Linked DNA regions of Sus scrofa. The protein of the gene in region 1 purifies or fractionates together with the protein of each later gene. This does not show direct contact. Links are inferred from orthologs where the notes say so. Each region holds a gene or a part of one and is shown in the gene's direction. Other genes may lie near its edges.

The links. The genes of interacting proteins can lie anywhere in the genome.
Region 2: the proteins of MPP5 (region 1) and PATJ purify together in Homo sapiens (co-immunoprecipitation; 5 studies listed by BioGRID and IntAct, counting the BioPlex papers as one, with this or other methods). This does not show direct contact. The link is inferred for Sus scrofa from reciprocal best matches to the Homo sapiens genes PALS1 and PATJ.

The regions. Positions count from the first base shown.
Region 1 is NC_010449.5:91,010,894-91,014,545, forward strand, and holds part of MPP5 (MAGUK p55 subfamily member 5), read left to right. Parts: intron 1-923; coding exon 924-1,001; intron 1,002-1,541; coding exon 1,542-1,688; intron 1,689-3,363; coding exon 3,364-3,525; intron 3,526-3,652. UniProt on the Homo sapiens protein: Plays a role in tight junction biogenesis and in the establishment of cell polarity in epithelial cells.
Region 2 is NC_010448.4:150,588,494-150,592,145, reverse strand, and holds part of PATJ (inaD-like protein), read left to right. Parts: intron 1-196; 5' UTR 197-234; coding exon 235-256; intron 257-358; coding exon 359-525; intron 526-2,952; coding exon 2,953-3,147; intron 3,148-3,652.

The DNA.
Region 1 (3,652 bases):
AGAAATATGTTAAAGTAATAGTTTACTGTGTTATATAGTGTGCTAAGCAGTTTATGTGGATTATGTCAGTCTTAAGAACCTTCTGTGGCAGGTGAGAAAGAACCATTCTATAGGTGAAGAAGCATGGGCTTAAAAAAAATTCATTATAATCAAGTGGAGTTTATCCTAGGAATGCAAGAATTGCTTGACTTCAGGAAATGTTTTAATTTGATGCACTATAGTATGGTGGCTGTTCATTACTCTGATATAAATTTATCTTGTTGGTCTGTAACTCTTTAAAATGTTACCTCTGATTTAAAATATAGTTACATAAATATGATTTAAAAACTATAAAATAGCAACATAACCATTAGAACAGTCTTTCCCTTATGTAATCATTGTTAGTCTGTTTTGTAGTATGTTTGCAGAAATCATCAAGAAGGAAATACCTCATTCATAGGAATAAATAAAGAATGCTATTGTCAACCATGGTAACAAGATTGAAAACTGTGAGAAAGAAATACATTTTTTAGGAGTTCCCATTGTGGCGTAGCAGAAACGAATCTGACTAGGAACCATGAGGTTTCAGGTTCAATCCCTAGCCTCGCTCCATGGTTAAGAATGCAGCGTTGCTGTGAGCTGTGGTGTAGGTTGCAGATGCGGCTCAGATCTGGTGTGGCTGTGGTGTAGGCCAGCAGCTGTACCTTCAATTAGATCCCTTGCCTGGGAACCTCCATATGCCTCAAGTGTGGCCCTAAAAAGCCAAAAAAAAAAAAAACCCAACCTTTTTTTAAAAAATTATAATTCTCTTTAGTGTTTTTCTTTCTTACAAGTAGTTTTTAGGATTTTAAATTGTACCTTAAAAAAAAAACAAACAAAAAAAACCTATGTAGATGCTGGTGATAATTTCTCTTAACCTAGGAAGAATCATCTTTGTTCCTTAGGTACAAACTGTTTTGAAGCCAGTCCACCAGAAGGAAGGACAAGAATTAACTGCTTTGCTGAATGCACCGCATATTCAGGTAGACAATGGACAAAGAATTATATATGTAGTTTTTCCAGCATTTTAAACTCAGTTCAAATCAAAGTCTCTTGGGCTGAAAGAGACCTCAGATATTAAGTAGCCTGTTTTGTCTTCAACTCCCATCACATAATAATTATTGTTGGATTATGTTTTTTTCAAATTTAAAATTAACCACATAATTTTTGAAACAACTTTTTATTCTTTACAAATTCCTCCCTTTTTTGGTTATATTGTCCATAAATTTTATCTCTGATGTTGGACCCCAAGGTGATTTTGTTTTTATGAAGTTTAATAATCATTTTAGATTTTCGTAACTTATCTCAAAGTATTCCCTATTGTACTTAACACATCTTTAGTTATTATTAGCCATAAAAGATACAGGGTTGTACTTGACTTGGAAAGTTTGGGAACAGATCTGAATATATAATTAGCACTTCTTTTAAAGGTTTGATGAGCAGGATACTATTACATGATTAGTTTGAAATTTTGTACAGAAATCATGCTGTTACTTTAAATGCTGTGGGTTTCTTTGAAACAGGCACTTTTACTGGCCCATGATAAGGTTGCTGAGCAGGAAATGCAGCTAGAGCCCATTGCAGATGAGAGAGTTTATGAAAGCATTGGCCAGTATGGAGGAGAAACTGTAAAAATAGTTCGTATAGAAAAGGCTCGAGATATTCCGTTGGTAAGTGTTCCACATCTCTGATATGAGATCCTTTCCACGGGTCTACACAAGGATCTTGGTGTATGTCAGATATTGAAGACCCTTGACATTTCTGGTAGTTTTTTCCTTTTGAGGCTAATTTGTTGGAATTCTTTTGTGTTCTTGCTCAAACTCCTTATTCAGCTGAGAAAAATTTGTTCATCTTTTCTCACCCATAATTTGATGCAAATAATAGCTTGTGCAGTGATTGTTGAACAAAGAAAGCGCAGATAATCTGCTTCATTATTCTCTCAGCTTAAAAAACAAAAGACAACAGTTGGAGATTCTGATCTTTTCATTCAGTGCAATTACTTACATACTTCACATAGATTTAGTATGCTTTGTCTAATGTTAATATTTTATATTTTTTGTATATAAAACTTTTTTTCTCTTAGTCTACTATCATTGCCTTTTCTTTTATTTTCAGAAAAATATTCTTGAATCCTAAGGTCTCAAATTGTCTTGTGGTACATGAAATAGGGACTGTATTCTATTAAAGGGCAGTTTATGTAACTAGGTTTTTTTCCCCACGAGAAGAAAGAAATTGGGGAAATTATGACAAAATTTTAAAATAAAATTTAGGAAAAAAGTGTTAGAAACTACTTTCAAGCTTTATTCTGTATTTCATATTTCCATTTTTTGAGGGTGTAAATTTCAATTTTACTTCCAACTTGTGTAATAAATGTTAATGTTTAATACTTTTTTTTTTTTTTTTTTTTGTCTTTTTGCTATTTCTTGGGCCGCTCCCGCGGCATATGGAGGTTCCCAGGCTAGGGGTCCAATCGGAGCTGTAGCCACTGGCCTACCCCAGAGCCACAGCAACGCAGGATCCGAGCCGCGTCTGCGACCTACCCCACAGCTCACGGCAACGCCGGATCGTTAACCCACTGAGCAAGGGCAGGGACCAAACCCGCAACCTCATGGTTCCTAGTCGGATTCGTTAATCACTGCGCCACGACGGGAACTCCTAATACATTTTAATGTGAATTGGAGACAGCTATAATATTTAACATTTTGATAATTAACCAGTATTCATCGCTTCATCATATATTGAATTTAAAAAGACTTACAAGTCATGTTAACTAATTATATAACCATTGGAATAGCATCCAGCATATAGAGAACAAATTTGATTATAGGCTTTCACATTGTTTTTGAGCAAGTGCATTTTTATACTGTTGTATGCTTGAAAAGCCTGATTTTAGAATTTTAATGAGTAGAACACTTCTGAAGCAGAAAATGTGGGGGAAACAATCAGCTTTCAATTGCTGTAACTACTTTAGCTGTGTAAATAAATTTTTTCTTGCTTGGCATATGCACACTGAGGTATATGGAATGATTGGCTAACAGAGACCTGCTGTGTAGCACAGAAAACTCTACGTAGTATTCTGTGATAAACTATGTGGGAGAAGAACCTGAAAGAGAATAGAGGTGTTTACATGTATAACTGAATCTACTTTGTTGTACAGCAGAAATTATCACAACATTGTAATCAACTATACTTCAATAAAACTTTTAACAGTAAAAAATAATTTTTTTTCTCATGATAACTGAAGGCTAGTATTGTTGAATTGAAAAAAATAAGAATTTTAAAATGAGGAAATGTTTAACCAAAACATCGCATTTTTATTTTAAAATTGGATATTGAATTTTTTAGGGTGCTACAGTTCGTAATGAAATGGATTCTGTCATCATTAGTCGGATAGTTAAAGGAGGTGCTGCAGAGAAAAGTGGCCTGTTGCATGAAGGAGATGAAGTTCTAGAGATTAATGGCATTGAAATTCGGGGGAAAGACGTCAATGAGGTTTTTGACTTACTGGTAAGCTGACGTGGGTAGAAGAATAATTGATAGGTTCTCAAAAGCTGTTTTCTTTGTTATTAGACTTCAGAATAAAATATTTTCAGAGCACTTAAAAATAACTGTTAATATCTCTATATGGGAGTCT
Region 2 (3,652 bases), on another chromosome or scaffold:
CATATTCTCTGTTCGGCTCTGTAGTTTTAGCCATCTTAGTGGCTGTGTAGTGGCAGCTCATCGTGGTTTGATTTGAATTTCCTGAGTAAAGTCTTCTGATGGAGAATGTTCTTAAGGTTTTCTGTAATTTTATTATAGGATGATAGGCTTATACACTAATGAAAAATCATGTTTTGTATTCAATTTTTTTCTTTAGGTGTTTTCAGTTTAAGTGATTGGAGGCAATAATTCAAAATGCCTGAAAATCCTGCTACAGGTATACTAGACATATCCTCCTATCACTAAATTAATTCATTATTCAAAAATGGAAGTTAAAATGGGATTTAACCTATACTCTGATTATCTTTCTTCACACAAGATAAACTGCAGGTCCTGCAAGTTCTCGATCGCTTGAAAATGAAACTGCAGGAGAAAGGTGACACTTCGCAGAATGAGAAGTTGTCTCTGTTTTATGAGACACTAAAGAGCCCTCTCTTCAACCAGATACTCACACTCCAGCAGTCCATCAAGCAGCTGAAGGGGCAAGTAAGTTACCCTCAGGGTTTTATATGTTGATACACTCAAAGCAGCAAAGAAAGATAGAAGGAGATAGATACAAATTGTCTCTACTCTCAATTCAGCAAAGAGATTATTAGGACTTGTAACCTGTGGGTAGCATTGGCATGGGTAGTTTAAAAATGCTGATAAATGTTTAAAAACGTTGATAATAAATTTTATGTTTGGCTTTGGAATATGGTTTCTTAAGTAAAGGTCAGGTACATAGAGATCTCAACATTTTCTTCAAAATAATAAAATAGTGTTTAGCTTAAATATATTTTCTTCAGGAAATCTTTTTTCTAGCATGAAGTGATCATGTCCTTATAGGACATTACATATTTATACCTTTGAATAATTATCAAATATTTATCTAATAAATATCAGATGCCATGCATGTTGTGATTAGAAAGCCCCTGATAGCGGTGTACCCAGTGTTTCCCTATTTTTCGGTTTCCCCCACTACCTGGGCTCTTGCAGCCACTAATACATGGTTGCTGAATTTTGGGACACCTAACACCTCTGTTTGGAATGATGTAAATTAAGAGTTTTAACTGTCCTCTTGTTGACGGTCTTTTGGGGTCAGGGATGGCAGAATCAGAGCTTGAATAGTAGCTATCCTATAGGTTAAATATGGGCAGAATTTTATTTGTTTATTTCTGTTATTATTACTTTTTGCTTTTTAGGGCCGTACCTGTGGCATATGTAGATTCCTAGGCTAGGGGTTGAATCAGAGCTACAGCTGCTGGCCTACGCCATAGCAATGCCAGATCCAAGCCACGTCTGTGACCTACACCATAGCTCACGGCAGCATCAGATCCTTAACTCACTAAGCGAGGCCAGGGATTGAACCCGCAACCTCATGGTTCCTAGTCGGATTCGTCTCTGCTGTGCCATGACGGGAACTCCTGGGCATGAATTTTCAATGCAATTGAAGATGATGTAGCAGAGTTGTTAAATGAAAATTAACAAAGTTTGGGAAAAAGTGCTATTTTCTGATAAACCAAAATGCCTATCCATAAATATTTAGCAAGTGATTTTTATGTAGCTAATTAAGGATTGAATTCTGCACATATGTCTTTCTGTGAATTTCTTTCTCTAATTTTAGCACTCCCTGTATTGAAGTTTCATTTTCTTTATTCTCTGATCATAGAATGAGTACATCACAACAGTGGATGCTATGGCAATAGAAAGTGAGAAAGAGCACTATAAATCTACCCCTCTTACTGGACTCAGAGTGGACCTAACTAACTACTGCCTCATAACAATCTCTTATATAGTTTGCATTGTTATATACATAATCATATTTTATCCATTCAGCTATAAAATCCCCATGATTTTTTCCTATCAGTGCCCTATCATGGAGTTTCTCTGTGTGTTGATTTTTTTCTTTGAGGTGCTATTGACATTTTTTTTTTTTTTTTTTTTTGGCGAGGACATTGTCCCTTCCTTCCTTCCAAGGCTGCACCTGTGGCATATGGAAGTTCCCTGGGCTAGGGGTCAAATTAGAGCTGCAGCTGCCACCCTTTAACCCAGCCACAGCAATACTGGATCTGAGCCGCATCTGTGACCTACGCTACAAGCTCACGGCAACGACCGATCCTTTAACCCACTGAGCAAGGCCAGGGATCGAACCTACATTCTCATGGATACTAGTTGGGTTCTTAACCCATGGAGCCACAATGGGAACTCCTTGACATTTGTTCTTGATGTTAATCTTTATTTCATTGTGTTGGCACTTGTATCAGCCAAAGATATTTTAAAAATTAACCTCTATTTTCCTCTTTGCATAATTACTGGATTCCACCACCCTACCTCACCCCTGCCTTAGGAGTGTTTAAGTGGCTCTACAACTCATTTGCTACTAATCTTAGGCAAGTTACTAATCCCCATGTGCCTCAATTTTCATGTTCACAAAATGAAATAGGAACATCTCCTAGGGCTGATGTAAGCATTGAGTGAGACAATGTACGAGTTTTGGTTTAGTACTTTGTTCATAGCAAGCACTTAATAAATACTGAGTTATTTTTGTTACATACCACCTGCAGATCTCTTGTGACTCCCCAGTGGAAATATATAGATAAATGCAAAAGGGCTCAGTGTCTTACATGCATCTTTATATGACTGGATGTATCTGTATGTGAAGTATAATGAGCTGTCGAATACGCTGTTAACTTGAGGTAATGGTAAAAGGCAGGAAACAACAAATTTTAAGCTATTAAACGTTTTGTGTAATACTAAATAAAAAATTTATAGCCTTATAAACACAGATTCATGGATCTGTATCTTATTTCTTTCACATGTATATATTTAGCATGCAATTATACATGTGATGTACAAAATATAGTATTTAATAAATAGAATTTTTTTTGTCTATAGGTTTCTGTTGATAATTCTCTTTTTTTTTCCCCCCAACAGCTCAGCCATATTCCCTCAGATTGTACAGCCAACTTTGATTTTTCTAGGAAAGGGTTATTGGTATTCACGGATGGTGCCAGTACTAGTGGGAATGCCCACAGGTCCACTAATAACCAGAGTGTATCTGGGTTATTTCCTTGGACCACAAAGTTGGGAAATGAAGATTTTAGCTCTATCATGCAACAGATGGCCCAGGTAAAGTTATATCTTGTCATGGGAATATTTAGTTTTATTTCTCCTATTATAGGTTGGAAAAGAAACCTCCACTCTCTCTTTTTGCCTTTAAAATGTGTTGCTCTTTGTTTTGTCAGCTTGTGTGTTTATATTCTTAGGAGAAATTGATACTATTTTTTAACCCATGTGTTGGAAATTTGTTCATTTCAAATTACATAAGGAAAATATCCCTGTGTGTGGTGAGCAAAGTTTTTAAGACAGTGACTCCAATTTGACACATCTATATACTTGTAGGGAAAGAGATTCTAATAGTTTTGCTCATAGGAAAATTACTATGTCTACCAGAAGTATTGTAATTCTTTTGAAAGTATTTTATTTTATTTTTTTTTGTCTTTTTGCCTTGTCTAGGGCTGCTTCCCATGACATATGGAGGTTTCCAGGCTAGGGGTCTAATCAGAGCTGTAGCCGCAGGCCTATGCCGGAACCACAGCAATACAGGATCCGAGCCGCATCTGCAACCTACACA